Medicago truncatula: one gene and its partner. The protein of the gene in region 1 binds, or shares a complex with, the protein of each later gene. Links are inferred from orthologs where the notes say so. Each region holds a gene or a part of one and is shown on either strand. Other genes may lie near its edges.

Region 1 (9,781 bases):
AGGTTGTTTTTCTTATTTGATCTACTATTGATACTTTCAACAGTGTCACATATTCCGTGTACTACATCCTAATTCATGACAAGTGAGTTTCTAATATCTTCAAGAGGGATGATATATATACCACCCCATGTGACAATACACCTTTTACATCCACACAAAATTCTGACATGCGGCAACTTAAACCCCACACAAATAGAAGATAAAATGTGGTTGTGAGATGAACTTACCAAAATATCTCTAATGCATGGGTGTACAATAGGATATAGGAATAAAGGGTGTTCATGTAACATTTTCCTATCTCCAAATTCAACATAATTACACTGTTCGAAATAACAATTCTTCACACTCTAATAGTAATATCACACTACAGTATCAAACTCTAATAACTCTAAAAAACACACTACAATTTCAAACTCTAATAACTCAATTTAATAACTCGTAACATTAAACTCACAATCGACATATTAATTTATCTATCAACCTTTCACCTGAAAATTTATGCATAAATACCACTTTTTTACTCACAATATTCACTTAAGTTACCGCTCTCAAACTCTTATTTTTACACTCAATATTCTCATATTACCCGTCTTCTCAATTATTTCTTAAACAATGAATTATTTATGGTTAGGAGATAATCATAGGTCTAGGCCACAACACCTTAGATAATGGGTAAAATTATATTTTTAAATCTCTTTTATTTTGTTTTTTATTGTTTTAATAATTTTTTCTATTCTCTTATTTTTTTTAAATTTCGTTTTTGATATTATGTTGCTTATTAAATTCAGTTTTATATTCGGTTAATAATTATGTAATATTTTTTTTATTATGTTTATTTTAACCTTTTTCTTATATGCTCCCTCCGTTTTTGTTATTTTGATGTTTTAGAACTTCAACTATATTCCAAAATATTTAATGTTTTAGTATATGTAATATTTTTTTTTCAAATTTACCCTTGTTGAAAAAGACACCATAAAATTATTAAAGGAGTTGTGACCTTTGATTTATCACATGTGAATTTAATTATAATAAGGACATTTTAGTCCAAAACATACAAATATTTATGTACTTTAATTACTTCTTAAGATTTGTACCAAGAGCTAAAACATCAAAAGATAAAAAATAGAGGGAGTATCTCTTTATTTATTTTTATTAGGATGAAAGCAACAAACATTTCAACTTCTCATCTACAAAAACACAAAGAACCAGTCTACTAATTTTAGGGTGTGTTTGGCCCAGTTTTTTGAAAGTCTAGAAGCTACTTTAAAACTAAAGTTGCTAAAAAAACTTTATAAATTAAGTTAAAGTTGATTGGTAGTATCTATTTGACAAAATTATACAATTTATCTTTTAATTTAATTTCAGTTAACATTTTTGTCCCTTAATTTTTTTATTTAATCATTTATGTTATAAAATATCAACATCACGATCCTTCCTTTATTAAAAAGATTAAAACTAAAAAAAAAAAATCATAAGCAAACTCATATCTTCATCACACAAACCTATAAATCTAGATTTCATTGAAAAATCCTTATAATGAAAAATCAAAGAAAAAAAGAATGAAAAAAGATGAAAATATGTTTATATTGTTGGAATGCTGAGTTGATTATAATGAGAGAATATTTTTTAGGAATTCTAGTTTTCTTTTTGTAAAAAAAGTATAACGATATTGATTTTATAACATTAGGGAAATGAACTGATATATAAAATAAAATTTGCTTGAATAATAGATAAATTGAAGTAAACTTGGACCGTCATAATATTCCTCAAGGCTTAGAAGCCCTCTAGAAGGACTCAAACGCCCTCCGGACGGGCCCAAAGACCCTCCAGAAGGCTCCTTGGGCTTAGGCGCGTCCTCCTGAAGGATGCCGCCTTCTTCAGCTTCTAGAAACCACCCAAAGTACCTAAATACCCATGTTGCTTGGAAACCAAGCAACAAGAGCCCAAGCCCACAGCATGCTATAAATACCACTCTTGAGATCATTCTCAAGGATCGGATAATCAGTCTAAACCCTAGTTTACGATTCTTAACCCTAGAATCTCTTATTGTGCTTTTTGCAAGTACAAAACTATCCCGCAAAAAAAATTGAATAAACTGGGTGATATGTGAGTAATACATATGTAGGGAATTATTAGTAAAATAATAATACAAAATTGTCTTTACCAGGGTTCGAAGATGGAAGCACATGTAAATGAAGCGCATAAGTTGATACAAAGTTCCTTTCAATTCCTTTAATTGAAGCTCCTATAATTAAATTTTTCTTCTTTGAAAATAATTTACTTGTTTTAGGAAGAGCTTCTCCCAAATGTTGTTTGCCCCTACTTCTTCTTTAAAGTAGAAGGGAAGTCAAGAAAAGGCAGGCCAAACAGACTCTTAGACCAAGCAGGTTTTCTCCATGTTAGCAACATAAAAGAGTACAAAATGGATAGACATATCCTAAATGCTCTAGTTGAAAGATGGAGACCCGAAACACACACGTTTCATTTTCCAACGGGTGAATGCACCATCACCTTGGAAGATGTATTCATGTTACTTGGTCTAAATGTTAGTGGATATGTCGTTACAGGTGTAAAATCAATTGAGAGGCCACTGTATGATGATTTTTTGGGATTAAAATTCCATTGCGAAATAAAAAAGAGGGTAAACATGCTATATCAATGTCACATTTAGCACAAAATCTCAATAAAGACCTCATTGCCGATGTGTTGGATAAAATAAAAATACAAGTTACTAGGCGGTATATTCTATGGCTAATCAATGGTTTTTTATTTTCAAATTTATCTGGAATAATGTACATAATTGTTGGTTGGCCATGGTAGTTGATTTTAATGATACAAAACAATATAGATGGGGATTAGTCGTTTTGGCCTATCTTTATCGGGGAATGTGTGAAGCAACAAACCCTAAATTTGTATGCTTAGCTGGCTGTAATTTTCTCCTGCAAGTTTGGGGATATTCAAGGTTGGATTATTTGGCTCCCAAAAACATAAAAGAACTTAGTTTTCCATTTGGAACAAAGTGAGTATATTGTTATTATGTTTTTAGTAGTATTTGTTCACATTTGAGAATGCATAGAGATTACTAAAAGATGAACCCAAGTACATATTTGTCATCTTCTAACCCACAGACACCAACAAGCGAATACAATCCACCATCACGTGAAATTGGTCAAAAATCAGCCAAAAGGAAGGAAAATGAAAAGATTGTGCATATATCTATTCCTAAATTTGATGCTTTGAAAAATGACTTGAACAAAAAATTTGAATTAATGTCAAGGTTTGCGCGTGATTTTGCACGTACTGAGAGTGAAAAAGTTGAGAGAGAGATGAAAATGGTTGATGTAGAGCTACACAAGACTGAGAATGATAGGGAAATGATGAAGATCATGATTTAACAATACTCTAAAAGGATGTATCAAATAGGAATACAAGGTAATTACAAGATTATGAATTTTTGTGTGGCATGATTAGACATAAATATGAACTTAATTGATATTATTATTTATGTTAGACTTAATCGATTAGAGGGATATTATAATTTTTAGTATATGATTAGCAATTTCTATGTATGTTGTACTTAATTATTATTTATGTTTTATTAATTTATATTTTTATAGTTTTAGTATATGAAATATAAAAAAAGCTTCAAGAAATATGAGCAGCATATTGCAGTCAATGTGTAAGACTAATTATAGTATACGCAGGAACGAAATAAAATGAAATATTGCAACCAATTAAAGTATAAACCATATTATAGTATTTGAGACGTGTATTGTATATAAACCCTATTACACTATTTAAAATCATGAATTTTAGTTGAACTAGCTGTTATTCAAACTCAATTTTAGTCAAACTAGCAGTTACAAACTAACCGTTACTCAAAATAGCCGTTATTCAAACTAGCAGTTATTCATATCCCTATACATGTTATAACATATATAACAAACTTCACAATCGTTTCCAATTTCATTCCCTTAAAAAAAACATTTTCAACTTCTCTCTTTATTCACATTCAATATCAAACTTCTCTTCATATGGATCCTTCCAATCCATCCCATGTTGCAAAAATATTCATGGATTATATGAATGACAACATGGATGAAGACCTTGTGAGGATTTACTTTGAAAGTAATACACAAGAAGAGTTTGTGAGCTCAAGTAGGTCCAGACGCCAAAGAAGAAACATAGAAATCATGAAGAAGGACATGAACAGTTATTCAATGATTATTTTTTAGAAGCTCTAGTTTACACGGATGAGCAATTTCGTCGAAGGTACCGAATGCGTAAACATGTTTTCCTTCACATAGTTGAAACTCTTGATCAACATGATGAGTATTTTCAGCTGAGGGTTGACGCACCGGGTAGATCAAATATTTCACCCATAAAAAAATGCACTGATGTTATTTGTATGTTGGCAGATGAAACATCTGCTGATAGTGTGGATGACTATTTGAGAAATGGTGAAACCACGACACGAAAATGTGCTGATAAGTTTACAAGGGGAAAACCGTCTCAATGCTGCAAAGAGAAAAGAGAATATTGTTTGCCCAATATCAAGAAGGCTCAAGGAAGGATATCTACACAGACTCACCATTGGATTAGAACAATTAAGTTTGAATCTGATAAAAAAACTAGGCAGGAGACAAGGGCATAGTGAGAGTAACATCCAAAAATTGCTTCTCTTCCCTCTTTCTTCGCACATGAACGAAGTAGAAAAAATAGGTGGGACCCATAGTACTTTTATCTCTCTCCCTAATTTCTCTTTTGCACCAAATGAGAGAAAAATCATTCTTCTCTCCTTATTCTCTCTTGCCTATTTCATACCTACCAAACAGACCATTACTGTTTCATGTTTTTGCAGTATTAAACCTTCAAAAAAAAAAAAAAAAGTTTTTGCAGTATTAAGAAATGAAACGACAAAGTAGTGAAGTCGTTTAATCAACTTCCACTGACTAGACATTCTAACAAAGAGTCCCCACCCACCCCCCAACCGTGCTTGCTGCTCACATCTCCGCGCGAACTCAAACTGAAACCCAATTCTACCGATCGCACCTCATCATGGACAGCAAAAACGTCGTCGTTTGCGACAACGGAACCGGAGTACCTCTCTCTCTCTCTCTCTCTTCAATCTCTTCATTCATTTCAAAATCAAACTACATTTCAATGGATCCAATAAATTACCGATCTCAAATTAGCATCAAACTTTATACATTTCATTATTTAACACTTTATGTTTCTTCTACTTATAATGTAATTGTTTTATTTATTTAATTCATCATTTATTTTGTGTTTCTATTTAAAATTTCAGTATGTGAAGTGTGGTTTTGCTGGTGAGAATTTCCCGACTTCTGTTTTTCCTTGTGTGGTGGGGAGGCCAATGCTCCGATACGAAGAATCGCTTACCGAGCAAGAGCTAAAGGTATGCAAAACATGATTACTAAGTTTTTTCAATTATGATATGTATGTAACTTGTTTGATCTATGAGATCAAATGTGGTTGTTATTATTATTATTATGAATTTCAATGTTCTTAGTTATTAGTGATTTTCCATTCCTAGTTGTTGAGAGTCACACATTGATTAGAGGTAGTGGTTATAAACCATTTTTGTGGGATGAGTTAGACACTATTTGGATTGACTTATTTGAGCTTATCTACTGATATAAGTTTTCTGAGACTGTTTGGGAGAATTTACGAAGGAGACTGTAGATACTGTAGTTACAAGAGTAGATCAGAAGAGGTTGAGGAAGACCTAGGAAAACTATAAGAGAAACTTTTAGGAAAAATTTAGAGGTTAATGAGTTGGATCCAAATATGGTTTATGATACAACATTATGGCGTAATTTGATCCATGTAGCTGACCCCACTTAGTGGGATAAGGCTTCGTTGTTGTTGTTGTTTGGGAAAATTTATGAAAACAACTTATGACAATTTTCCCAAGTTCTCATATGTTGCTTATTAAAACAACTTATAGCATATAAAAAAGAATTTAACATCATTTTATTTTTTTCTATAAAAGTAGCTTATGCAAGCTTATACATAAGCGATTATCATGATAAATGTTTGCGCTATAAGCTGCAAATAAGCTGTTTATCCAAACAGGCCCTAAGCCTAAACTGTAAGATGATATAAGAGCTTATTCCAGATTTGTTGTTGGTCCAAGATCTCTGTATAGAAGAAGATTATTATTTTTATTGAATAACAATAGAATGACAATAAAATAAAAAAGATTTATTTTTATTCATAATAGGATCCCAACAAAAGCGAACCTCGCACATAGGCAAGTTTTACCACCGGAGAGCTCTTTACACTGTGTGATGGGGTGCTAGAGTCGGCCAGCCATTTGTTCCTACATTGTTCTTTTGCGATGAAAGTGTGGGATGAAGTTAAGAGATGGCTGGGTTTTCATTATGCGACTCCACCTAATTTATTCTTTCTTTGGGATTGTTGGGATAGAGTTTCGACCAACAAAAATATCCGGAAAGGTTTGAGGATGATTTGACATGCGGGGGTGTGGAGTATTTGGAGGGCCCGAAACGACATAATTTTCAACAACTCGATTGGTGAAGTGGAGGAGGTAATGAAGGATGTAAAGGTTCTGTCGTGGAGATGGTGTTTAAGTCGGTTGCAAGGGCCGGCGTGGTTGTTCTATGAGTGGCACTGGAATCCAAAAGCATGTCTGCTGCGTTAGGGGCGCTGTGTTTTCGAGGCTGAGGCTGTGGTATGCGGTGCCTGCGGTTAGGTTGCTGTCAGTAATGGATATAACAGCATAAGCTTTGTTGGGATGCAGCATGTTTTCGGCTGCTGTCATTTGTTTTAGCAAGACTAGGTTTTTTGGGCTGATATTGGTGCTGTGTTTTTGGGGTTTTCCGGTATGTCGGTGACCTTGTATTATTGTTTTTCTGTCCGCGAGTTTGTTGTGCATCTTGTACACTCTCGACGTGAATAAATTTTGCTGATTCTAAATAAAAAAAACTCGTAGGGTGTGAAGTAGGAGGAAGAGTAACTTATACCATCAATGACAATGTTAAAGAGTGAGAAGAAGAATCACAGAGAGAGAATTGGGATAGAAAAGGAGTGAATTCACTTCATAAATCATCCATTCCTTGGTTTCACATTCCCCTCTCAATTCAAACAATCTCTCAGCCATGAGTTTAGCTTTGCCTTTGCCCACCTCTCACCTCCTAATTTTCATGACTTCCTCTAGCCTAATTTTGATTCCTTGTAATTGCCTTGCTGTCGATTTCCTTCAGCTATCGATCCACCATTCTCTAATCGACTTGCCTTTGCTGGCAGTTTCATTGCACTATGTTATTCTACGTGCATTTGTCCACATTTCAAATGTCGGTTTTTGGGGTTTAGTTAAATCCTAATTTCAAATTCTAAGATGATATTAGAGTCTAATTCATATCTTTTATTAGGCCAAGAATTTTCCACTTGCACACAGTATTGTTAAATGGCAGCATGGCGGAATGGCGTGGTGGAATTTTTGAAAACTGCCATGGATAGTTTGCGCAGGAATGCCCACCACAGGCCAACTGCTTGCTTATGTGGCGAACTTTTGGCCTTTCGTTTATTCCATTATCCGCCATCGAAAACACTGCCTGCAATTTTCCATGCTCCAAATGTCGATTTGTGGGCGTGAGAATGTAATAGAAATCTACAAGTGGAAATGAACAATGGGAAAGTATTTGAAGGGAATTGATTGTATTTTATTGATTGAAATGATGAACTCAGTTAAAAATAAGTATCCCTAAACTGCCAAGAGCAATGCTCCTTACAGAGTGATTCTCTCTGTCCAATATAAAATGTAACTCATTCTTTCGATACCCTTCTTACTCCCTACTGCTCCCATGTATTCGGAACTACCAGCACCTCATGCTCATGCGCTTGACAATTCTGTTACACAAGTTTCCAGCTCAGCTTTTCCATTTTCTCTCTTATTCTTCCTCTAATAGACCCTCCACACAGTCGGCCTCACATTTGGGCCTGCAGATAAATGCACTTCCGTATCAGAACGTATCCCCATTATTCCACCCACAGTAATCCACACTTTAGAATTCAAATGTCCATTTCTAAACTTAAGGGAGTGTGTTGAAAATATCGCCTATAGATATGTCCTAGGTAGTGTTTATAATGCTTTGCTTAGGTTGTTTTTGTCTTACTAGTCAGTTTTGCATTGTTGAATTAGGCCTTAAGCCTAGACATCATAAACAATTACATATACACTTAATTACCCGTTTTTAAGATGTTGCTCGGGTCTCTGTGAGATTTATTATTTATTTACTATTTAAATTATGTTCTATTTAGGATATTGTTGTTGGCGAAGGATGTGCAGACCTGCGGCATCAGCTTGATATATCTTATCCTGTGAACAATGGAATCGTCCAAAACTGGGATGACATGTGTCATGTGTGGGATCATGCATTTTACAACGAATTAAAAGTAACCTTCTGGTGCTTCTTTCTCATTGCTCTTTCAACTGTGAATATTTGATTTCGTAGCTAACTCTGGTACACGATTTTTCTTGACAGATTAACCCACAAGACTGTAAGATTCTACTCACTGATCCGCCTCTTAATCCCTCAAAGAATCGCGAAAAAATGGTTTGTGGGCCAATCTTGTTACCTTTTGCTAATTTGTTTTTTGCATAGTAATTGTTTATGTGATTTGACCTGGCAGGTGGAGACAATGTTTGAGAAGTACAACTTTGCTGGAGTGTTTATCCAAATCCAAGCTGTTCTAACATTATATGCTCAAGGTGCTTATAGAGATGAGTGAAGGTTGATGTTTTGTTGTTTATTCACCTCATCCTAATTAGTTTACACCTCATAATTGCTATTACTCATTCTTGGAAACTACAAACTCTAATTATAACGTATTTACAAACCTTTGATATTTTATAATGCATTATGATTTTGTTTTATAAACCATATGCAGCAATGTTATATATCCTAATTTGCAAGGCTTTGAAATAGGGCTAATTCGCGCTTCCTTTATTATTAGGTCTCTTGGGAAACTTATTTTTCCTTTATCAGTATGCATTCTTTGTGCATTCATAACATTTCTTTGGTTGTCTCAGGTTTGCTGACTGGATTAGTTATAGACTCAGGCGATGGTGTCACTCATGTGGTAATTAATTAACGTCTATGCTTCTTAATTATAATTCTGGTCACTGCAATGGTTATTGCTGGGTCCTATCTCTTATATTTTTATATAACTATGTTGTCATGCTCTACAAGCTTATGTCCTTTTGGTTGCTCATAACAATTGGTGGATTTGATGAGTTAAGTAACTAAATCAAACATTTGACAATTTCATAAATATTCTAAATGATATTGTATGTTAATCTTAAGAAATACTGACCGACACAGAAATACTATATGTGCTGAGAAATTCTATTGCAAAGTTGGTTATGGATGAGTTGGATGGATTAAAACCTGTTGCAAACCGTTCCTAGATGAGTTGGATGTAACTTTGGACGGATCCCAAGTTGGATATGGATGAGTTGTTTTTCTTAACCTGTAGGGTGTCATGATTACACTGTCATCTGGTACATAGAAAGTATTCATACTACAATCACAAAGGGGGAAGCACCATGTGGAGGCCTAGAAAAACAAGAGTTTGTTGTTAGTTTACTCACACAGAGAAGACCTTTTTCTTGGATAATTACTTACTCACACAACTCTGTGGATGTTATTGCAGTTAGTTCTTTCAGTTCAGTGCATGAAAATTGTCATCAGTTTGTTTAGCATTGCTCATAACTTCATTTTTATGGATTGCT
Region 2 (10,186 bases), on another chromosome or scaffold:
TGCTGAAATGATCATTGGAAATACACCCCTGTTGTTTTTAAATAACATGCTGCAATATTGATGTTGAAATATGTTTAAAAATGCTATGAGCCTGGGGCACCTAGAATCTACTCATAAAAGGAGAGAATAAAGGGATTCTATTTGTATTGATCCCTTATTTTTATCAAGGTACATATATGGGAGTATTTAATGCAACTCACTCAAATCCATGAAACTTGTTTCTCATAAGTTATGCTTATTTTCTCTATTAAGGTTTCTAATAGAGTTAGGAATGAGTCTCAGTTCGTTTAAACCCTATCCTCGACAGCTTCTGCGCAAGGAGCACATAAAAACAGCGGAGAGGAACAACTGCAGCAGTCATTCGAGTCTTCAGAAGTACCAACAGTAGCAAAAGAGGGGTCAGAGGAGGGTCGTGTGCTACTCAGGCACGAGATGGAAAAGGATGTGTCACGTGGGTGCCGGTGGGCTCACGTGCAGTCGAAAGAAACGGTGAAGAATGAAAAGTAAGACTTTTAGCAAACCAGGTCGTGAAATCTGACCTGGAACAGGTCTGACAAGTATTGCCATGGATCACCCAATCCCACGTTTTTACCATCATACTCACTTTCCCACCCTGGTGATCCCGACGACAACATTACTTGGTGAAAGAATATATAAATAGACATGCTTGGTGAGAGAACATGTCTTTCTTAGTGAATCTTACTTTTCAAACTCATGAAACTCTCCCCTAAACCTATGTTGAGTTCACCAATTTATTAGTAGTTTAGTAAATGTTAAAATTAAATGAATTTATTCCCACTTGTTCATCTACAACATGAATCTGCTTCAACTACAGATTAAATTATGGAAAAGGAATCCTATTGATGCGACATTCGGTAGGAAATTTATCAACAAAGAATGCATTCAGTATGAAGCATGTCTACTCACACATTCTCTCATAAAAAATAACCAATTCATCTGAATGGTTCTTCCAACAATAGTCTGTGATATCACTCAATTTTAATAAATGCAACCTACATAGCACCAACACTTCATGTCGAATGTGTGTCCAGTGTCCAACGCATGTGATTACATTCAATTACTTCCATTTTTTTTTTAAATTATTATCAGTATTAAAGTGTCAGTGTCGTGTTCAGTGTCAGTGCTGCATAGAACGCAACAAAGAATAAAAAAATAGACCTAGTAGCGGCGAGTGCATGACCAAATTCATGCACAAAAACAGACACAATAGTAGAAACACAAATACATCCAGCATCAGCAAGTGATAAGCTCAAACCCGACAACAAATTCGGAAACCCAAACAGCATTTCACTAGCAATACTTCGAACTTTATTACTTTCTCCACATATATTCAAAGCCGTTGCAACCTCCCAAACCAAAATCTAAAACAAAAAACAACAAATCAAATCAAATTGAATAAAAACAAAATAAATTACCAATTACAAACTGATAAAAATTGTTACCAGCGTAACAGCGAGCATAGCAGAAAGTGCGAAACCAAGGCCAATAGAAAACCAGAGTTTAAAAAAGTTGGCATGTTTGCGACCGAATGTGTAGAGAGGTTTATTGAAAGAGATGAATTTGTAATCGCAATAGAAGAAGGAAATAGTGTTGGAGAGATGAGAGGAGGAAGAAGAAGGAGCGTGAAGAGGGAGAAGAGTTCTGCTGTTGGGTTTTTGATGGCTCACGAATCTTCGCATTCGTCTCGTTTCCATCAGGTACAAAATTGTTGTTCCTCCACCACTACGGCGGCACTTTTATCGGTCAAGGGCAAAGTAGTCATTTCTTTTCAATAATTAAATTTATCAAAGCCTAACTGACGAATTATCTAAGATGCAAATTGCCTAAACGAAGTGATGGTGTTTTATTGATGTTGGTGATGTGAATATTAAGATGATGTTAAATTATTTATGGGAGTAAATGTTGATGATGAAATGATTTGTTTGTGTATGGATCATGCATTGTCGAGTTTACATTATCATCATTGTCATTCCTATTTAATGATGGATATTTGATGACGGGTGGATTAATTTGTAATATACCTCCAATTATTTAATGATGGTGGATCGCTCGGTGACATAACTCCGACCTCCAAAACTTGGTACCACATGCATGTAGAGTCAAACTAGAACATTGCATACATATGAACCTATGTGAGACGTGAATTGATTATGAGAATCTATGTGAAGATGTGTACATGACTATGTGTGTTCATGTGGCGTTTGATAAAAGTTCTTTAGATGTTAATTTTGATGCAACTTGTTAGCATATTAAATGATACTTTACTAATGTCAAGTTTTGTAAACATGATCTATATGATAATAATTAATAACTTTCAATACAACGATGAATCTTCTGATAATTATGCGTAAAAAAAATTCAAAAGTGTTGTATATTAAGTTTGACATCAAGAAGCCAATTATCCATATATGTAAATCAAAGATTTGTCATCTGCAAGTAAAATTGGTCTTCTTATATCAAATTAAAATTGAGAGGAAGTTTGTACCAAAAGAAAGTAAATAAGAGAGCTTATATCATTACTATGAAGTATCTTTAGCCTAGTATTTGATCTTCGTGCGCTGGTGACGAAAAAAACGTCGTGCTCTTTAGAGCTATCAAAATGGGTCGGGTCGAATGGGCCGGCCCAAAAGCCCGAATAAAACGTAGGACTTGGACCTAAAAATTGCAGCCCGAATAAATTCAGGATTTTTTAGCCCGGTCCGAAAAAGCTGGTTGCCCATTTAGGCTACGGGCAGCCTGGGAAAAAGAAAAAGTTAAACTATATGGGAGACTACAGAAGTTGCCATAGTGGACGTTAGAGCTTCAAATCCTGTTGTTTTGAAAATATCATTCAAAGATCAAGAAGTTAGAAATCATATTTATCATTCGCAGTGGAAAAAAGGCTTGCTTTTTCTTTCTTAAATTTATTCATGGTATTGATATTTATTGTTTTCTATTTTTATAGACATTAAATATTTAGTGTTAAGTCGTCAAAATATAAGATTTATCCTCTAAAAAAAAAATACAAGTTTTATTTTTCTTCTGTTATATGCTTTATTATTTCAACTCAACATCGCCAATTATGAGTTGTGAAAACAACTGCTGATCATAATACGATGAATATCTTCATCTGATATCTAAGTTTTTTTTGAGTGATTGAGTTTCATTAATTATATAGCTATGTTAATATGCTATGTGTGATTATAAACTGTGTAATTATGTGCATATAGCTATGCAATCTGATCATGTTTTTTTAACTTGTGCAAGTTCGGTTAGTAATTAGGATCATTAAAAGATTTTTTTTTTAAAAAATGTGCGTGCGGGCTGACCCGAGAACCCGTATAGGGCCGGGCTCGGGCTCTATTATTACAACCTGTATTTAAACCAGGATTTTTAACCCGACCCTAAAAATCCTGCAGTCCGTTCGGCCCGAAACGGCCGGGTAGCCCATTTTGACTCGTTGCTTAGTCATAAATTTGAATGGATGTCTTATAGTAGTTTATAATTAAAAAATATCTTTTGATAATTGTTATTTCTATTCAAGTTTATAGCGGTTTGTGATAAGTTAATTCAAATGACTTATAACTTAATAATAAACTACTATAGTTACCTCAATAATATGAAAAAACCAATAATTAACCACAATAATTAACCACTTGTTATCCAATAACTAATAACTATCAATGATTTCAATTTGTTACTAACAAAAATAACACAAATTTGATTTCAATTTGTTTCTAACAAAAATAACACAAATTTATATATATATATATATATATATATATATATATGTAGTAGATTACATATTTTACCCTTAAGCACTTGTAAAAAACAACTGTAAAATTTTAGTGGGTTATGGGCAGTTTAAACTTTTAGCAAGACATTTGTTTTTATATATAGATTTATAGAGTAGATTAAGTGTTAAAAATAATAAAATTTTAAATCATAAAAATTATATTAAATCTATCTAGTTATATAAAAAATAAAAGATAAGTCTTTGTTCACGACAAAATAAATCTATCTAGTTATATAAAAAATAAATTACGAAAATAAAAATACAAAAGCACTGCAAAAACAAACAAAAACAGGTAAATAATAGCACACTAAGTTTTTCTTCACTTTTAAAGGATTTTACTCGGATCAAAATCTATGACCGTTAAATTTTTTATCGACTGTTGTCATTACTGTTTACATTTGGACGTGGATCGCAATCTTATACTATCCAAATTGCTTGTTATCGACGACTGAGAAGACTTCTCATTTTACGCACGCGCGAGTATCAATTATTTCACACAAAAACATAACTAACATTGAAGCCACATGCTCTTCAACCGGAATAGCATGCCAGACAATTGAAAACAATAACAAGAAGAATTTCAACGATGTGAGTTGTTCATTTATGTTATAAAACCTTTTTTAAATATTTATCATATTGTTTTATTTGATATTATTTACATTTACGACGCAACTTCAAACCTGCAAATGACTTGCAAGGTTATTCAAAAATACTAATTGAGTGATGACTTTTCTATTATAAGATTGATGCAAGAGTTGAATTACACCAAATACTTGAAAAATGTGGCTCTACCGTTTATCGGTTTTCTACTCCTCAATTATGAATGTTCAAGGATGTGGCTGGAACTGTTGTGCTAATAATTTTGAAGGTAAAGTTTGAACAAAAGTTGGGTATGTTTTGTAACATGTCAAACTTGCAGCAAGTCCATAAACATTCCACTAGCATGTATGTTTGTGATTTTTTTTATAAACATTTATCTTATTATCTTGTTTGATATTATTTACTAATGGTGCTGCTTCAAACCTGGAAAGGTTATACAAAAATACCACTTGAGTGATTTCATTTCTATTATAAGAATCATGTGTAAAGAGTTGAACTAGATCGTAATTTTTGACGAGGGACAGATTTATTATGAATTTTTATTTCCTTATGAATTTTTTATAATTAATTCGTATCTCGTTTAAAAACTCTAAAAATTCACGAGGAAAGTTCTTATGATGTTATATACATGCTTAGAAAATTAGAGAAAGAAATTTGACCCGTGAGTATACATTTACTCATAACAAAATTGCAATTTCGCACGTTTTGGTTGAAAAATAAAAAAATTAAACATCTTTGAAATGCTACAAAATTTTGCAAATTCTTTTTATGTATTTCTTTAGATGTCTCTGCAAACAATCAATTTAAAATTCAATTTTTAGGTCGGAGTTTTCATCATTTTGTTCTTTGAGTTTTTGACGCTTTATAAATTCATAATTAATTTGTCATTAGTTGAAAAATTCTAAATTTTTGTGTAATGCATATTTCTTTGTTGTAAACATGCCTACAAAAATTATGAAAAAATTCAACCTCTGAGTAGCATTTTTGGACTTCACATATAGTACGTGGTGAATTTCAATAATTAATCTTATTAATAATAAATATAATAATAAAAAATAGAATGAAAAGAAACAAAATATGGTGATGTGATTATTATGATTGAGAAAAATGAATGAATGAAAATCTGTAAGTGGAAGAAAAGAATCGGTCTGGATCTGAGTGAGTGTAATAATACACATAATCATAATCATCATCATCATCAAAAACTGTTGAAACGAAACACGAGAAGAGAAGAGAAGAGAAGAAAGCGGAAAGGGTCAGGATCATCGATGATACTCCTCCAGTCCCATTCTAGATTTCTGCTTCAGACTCTTTTGAATCGCCTTCAAAAGTTAGTTACTAAAACGCATGCGTTTTCATTTCGCTACTCCTTCATTTCAACTGCGTTAATATCTTCTGTTTCTGTTTCTGTTTCTGTTTCAGTATCGAAAAAGGTGTTGAACTCGATCACCACTGGGTTGAATTTGACGATGTCAGATATCACATTCAGGTACTAACAATGTTTGTTAACACGATTATTATTACTATTATCATAAACGCCGTATAGTCAATGTTGTTGAACACCTGCTACACTTATCATGATAAGCGCTTATTTATGTTTATGATATGAACTTGTTTCCATAAACAATTTATTTTGAAGCTTATATAACAAACACTTATAAGCTCTTTCTATAATAGAAGATAAAATTAAGTTAGTTATATTGTTTTAGTATAAACTGTAAGTTGTTTTCATAAGCTATCTTGGAGACAACAGCTTATGAACATGTCACGAGTTTGTTTCCCTTAGTTCTCCTAAATGCATATACTAGTAGATAAACTCAAACAAGTCGATTCAAACATATCATAAATAGTCTATCTCATTAAATAGCGATTTGTTCAAATCCCATTAAGCTCCCTTTTTGAAATGAAAACAGCTTATGGACTTGTCAAAAATTGTTTCCATAAACTCTACCAAACAGTCTCACAATTGAAACATGCCCAAAATGTTGTCAAATAGAGGCGCTATAGAGGAATTTGAATAAACCCCTATTTTATGCGATCCACGATTGACAAACACTGAGTAATGTAGATAATTTGAGTTTGACACTTTTGGGTTGCATATTTGATCAAGCTAAAAAATAATTGTAGGTGTCAATGAAGAATCCTAATATTTTCTTGCTATCTGTATCGTTGCCTACTCCATCTTCGGAAACTATTTTTGTATGTGGACTTCCTTTTGGAGCCATTGAAGCAATCAAAGCTGCATATGGCAGTCTTGTGCAAATTCTTGATCCTCCAAGGGATGGCTTTAACCTCACATTGAAGATAAATCTCTCAAAGGTTCCTGCAAATCAAGGTATATCAGGGTTTTTAGTATAGGATGTTACCGTAACTTTGAATTTCCCTTGCTATGAAAAGTTTTTTCGTCTTTAGCTGAACTTATAGCTTCTGTATTTTCTAATGCATTAAAACTACCGATTAGTAATGCATTTTCATTGCTACAGTATATTCTTTCCACTGTTTTGGTTTCAGGGATTTACATTTGCTATAGATATTAGATAGTATTTCAATATAAATTGATAATTGAAGCACTAAGTTGATATTCTCAATTTTGCATATATGATTTACATGTGCTTTGGATTGTCAATATCTGAGCTTTTTTCTGTTTTAGTTCATAGTAATATTATTTGATGTGTAACCCAGAGATGGATAATGGTTCTTAATTGAAATTGCAGTAGAGATTAATAACTATGTTCAAGTTTCTGTAGTTTCGTTTACATGAAATAAAAGATAGCATTTTTATTCTCAATCAATTTAACTTTTTATCTCTCCAGAGTTTTCTTAACGTTTCTCAGTAAGTAGACCATTTTCCACTTGGTTTGCCTCTTAGTCCCATGGTTCTGCATCTGGTCCAGTAGAACTTCTATTTGAACCAACCACCATTAAAGGAGTCATTGGTCAGTTGAGAAATTGAAAGTCAGCAAATTTCTCATGCCCTACAATGCACCAATTCCTCTGTTGGCATTTGGTGTTCTTGCGTCGCTTGCCTTGAACCCATTCACCGTGAAACCAGTATCATTCTACATGATGGATTGTCCTGCTTTCGTTCCAGCAGTCATCTGTCTCCATCTCCCATTCCTTTTAAGGCATTTGTTCTCTCAGTGAATGCCCTGGTTTATTAAGATGGATTTTGAACCTACTTCCCAAAATTCTTTGAGAAGTCAGAAACCTACATACGGTTTTTCTTTCTCTATTTGTGGAACCCTAACTACTGTAGAAAAGCCAAATGGAAATAACTATTTAGCTTGCTCTTCTTCCCTGTAACTCTGGTTTCTTGGCCAAGGTTTCTATGATTACTCGGAGAGAAAAATCTTAATGAGACTTTTGTTGAAAATCATAGTTTGTGGGATAAACTTGTTTATGAACTCTGTGCTTTGTGTGATGATCTCTTGAACCAAATATTTTTGGCAAATTTCAAAACTTTTAATACTTATCATACTTTTTTTCAAGAAGACTCGACATGTTTTGCTAATAAATCTAAATGCCCAAATTTTTCTTTTCTTCTGGAAACTGTGTTTTTTCATTCTGGTTCGTCACTCCATCTTTGGTTTTATTTAAGAAAGAGAAATTTATAAGTTAAATTATTTTGTTGTTGATGCTGTTCTTTGACAATTGGCGATGTTGATCTTGTGCAGAGCAAAGACAAGCACTTTTGGTAAAAGTAGCATCAGTAAGGGAGGTCGTCCTTGGTGCACCACTAAGGGTAATTTTAAAACACCTTGCTTCTAGAAATGTTGCTCCGGATATGGATCCACTTGTTGCTCTTGTTCATCGACCAAAGGAGTCTTTTTTTGTTTTTCCTCAGGTATGATAGTTGAATATGCAACTTTCTGTTACTGAAACCTTCATCCTTGCTTGGGGTATTTTATTCATATTGTTTTTTGTACTCAAAGAAGTAGTTCAGTAATCCATAACAATCCTAGATGCATGGGTGACTTCCTTTTAGCTTTAATATTGTTCCTTGTCAACTTTTATTTATACAAAATATAAGGGAACTTTAATAACAGAGAGGAGGTTCTATAGAAAAAACAGAATCTAAGAAAGAAAGAGATACCGGAGAGAGAAGTTAATGGAGTTTACAGAAAACCCTGCTGGACAGACCGGTTATGAACATTAACATCGTAACTGAATGGGAAAAACACATTTTTATTACAAAAAATGTTCCCAGGCCTTTAGTACCAAAAGCTCAAACCGTGGGCGTACCGGTTATGGGTGTAAGGATAGGAGAGCTGGAAAAATGGCTGAGAACAGTTAGGTAGTTTGTTTGCTAGATATCCTTCATCTATTGTATTATTCTTTGTTCTCCTGGAAGTTGCATATAAGGATTACTTTAGCCATATCTCTTGATGTGAGATCTCAACACACCCACCTTATGCCCAACATTGGACATTTGGAGTGAAGCTTGTAGGATTATACATTTGCAGGTGACCAATAATAGATTTGGAGGTGCAATTGTTCATAGTTTGGAAAATTAGGAATAATACAGTGGAATCTTATTTCTGGGTATTTTATAAAAAATGTGTTTGGTTTAAATCTTACATTACTTGGAATTTTTGTAAGAGTTGGATATGTTGACATCAAGTTTACTCCCATCTTCATGGGAACTTTGGGAATAGAAGCATAGGAAAGTGTGGTAGTCATTTTATTCCTCAGAATGTTTTATAGCTGGGAATAAGTATTATAACTTTGTAACAAACAGTGGAATCTATATTTCTAACTTCCACATTTCCAGGAATAAATTTCACAACCATGAAACAAACACCCCCACGATAGATTGTCCACTATCTAGGATTTGGGCTAGGTCTAACTCAATTTCAAAAAAGCTAGCCTCTGTTTTTTTGTCCTAGTCATGCTCTTATTGTGCTTCCCAAATCCTGGTAAGTGACGTGGCAAACTTTTCTCAAAGTTTGCAGGACATAACCAACTTATAGAACTTAAATTAATGAAACATTTCAGCCTATAACCTTATAATAAGTAACAAAAGATTTTGCAATGGACATGTGCTTTACATCAAATAGAATAAAATGCCTAATCTTACCCCACATGGGCTGTTATGCCAAAGAAACCTCAATCAACTAAGCATGTAGTATACAAATTAAGAAAGACAGGTCTATTTATGTAGTCTCTAAACCTGCGACAATAGATGCTTTTCGTTGGGAAATAAAGAGAAGTGGAAAATAACAAAACAAAGAATTCTTTTAATTGAAATTGTACAAATTTTGTTCGCTTGTTTTGATTCTATTGCGTTTCAAAGTTTATGTTTTGTCACACTGCCTGAGAAGATCGACGTTTGAGACGTTAGTTGGCCCATTTAAGTTATTTGATACCAAAGCATCCCTTAGGGTTAGTTGATGAAATAGTTTTGTTTTTGACAGGCTGATAAGGTGACTGTGATGTATCCTATGAGATTCAATGATTCGATAGACATTGTTCTTGCAACTTCATTCTTGCAGGTATGATTTCTTAAGTAATTTGTTTCTGCGAAGGTCACAGGATTTAAAAAGAGCATGGAGAGAGAGTTGTACATTTTTGTTACATCTTTCATACCATTCTTTTGTCGTGCTTTGGTCCTTGTTTGGGTGTTTTGATGGTTTTAACTTTCAAGCTTTATTATGATTTAGGAATTTGTCGAAGCCAGGCGTACAGCTGGACTTAATAATACCCCTCCTTGTTCATGGTCTCATACTCCACCACCGGAACTGAAAGGAGTATCTACTGATGCATTATCTGCAAATGCAGGATTTGTATCAT

What was found.
Region 2: actin-related protein 2 (region 1) and actin-related protein 2/3 complex subunit 2A share a complex: the UniProt entries of both Arabidopsis thaliana proteins name them as parts of the arp2/3 complex. The link is inferred for Medicago truncatula from reciprocal best matches to the Arabidopsis thaliana genes ARP2 and DIS2.

Annotation. Positions count from the first base shown.
Region 1 is NC_053048.1:9,626,959-9,636,739, reverse strand, and holds the start of actin-related protein 2, read left to right. Parts: upstream 1-4,932; 5' UTR 4,933-5,058; coding exon 5,059-5,100; intron 5,101-5,308; coding exon 5,309-5,419; intron 5,420-8,307; coding exon 8,308-8,442; intron 8,443-8,531; coding exon 8,532-8,603; intron 8,604-8,679; coding exon 8,680-8,758; intron 8,759-9,079; coding exon 9,080-9,129; intron 9,130-9,781. UniProt on the Arabidopsis thaliana protein: Functions as ATP-binding component of the Arp2/3 complex which is involved in regulation of actin polymerization and together with an activating nucleation-promoting factor (NPF) mediates the formation of branched actin networks.
Region 2 is NC_053049.1:32,345,879-32,356,064, reverse strand, and holds the start of actin-related protein 2/3 complex subunit 2A, read left to right. Parts: upstream 1-5,490; 5' UTR 5,491-5,511; coding exon 5,512-5,726; intron 5,727-5,818; coding exon 5,819-5,885; intron 5,886-6,523; coding exon 6,524-6,731; intron 6,732-8,070; coding exon 8,071-8,240; intron 8,241-9,810; coding exon 9,811-9,888; intron 9,889-10,056; coding exon 10,057-10,186. Other genes in the region: membrane-bound transcription factor site-2 protease homolog, read right to left, coding at 1,180-1,382, 1,464-1,715. UniProt on the Arabidopsis thaliana protein: Functions as actin-binding component of the Arp2/3 complex which is involved in regulation of actin polymerization and together with an activating nucleation-promoting factor (NPF) mediates the formation of branched actin networks.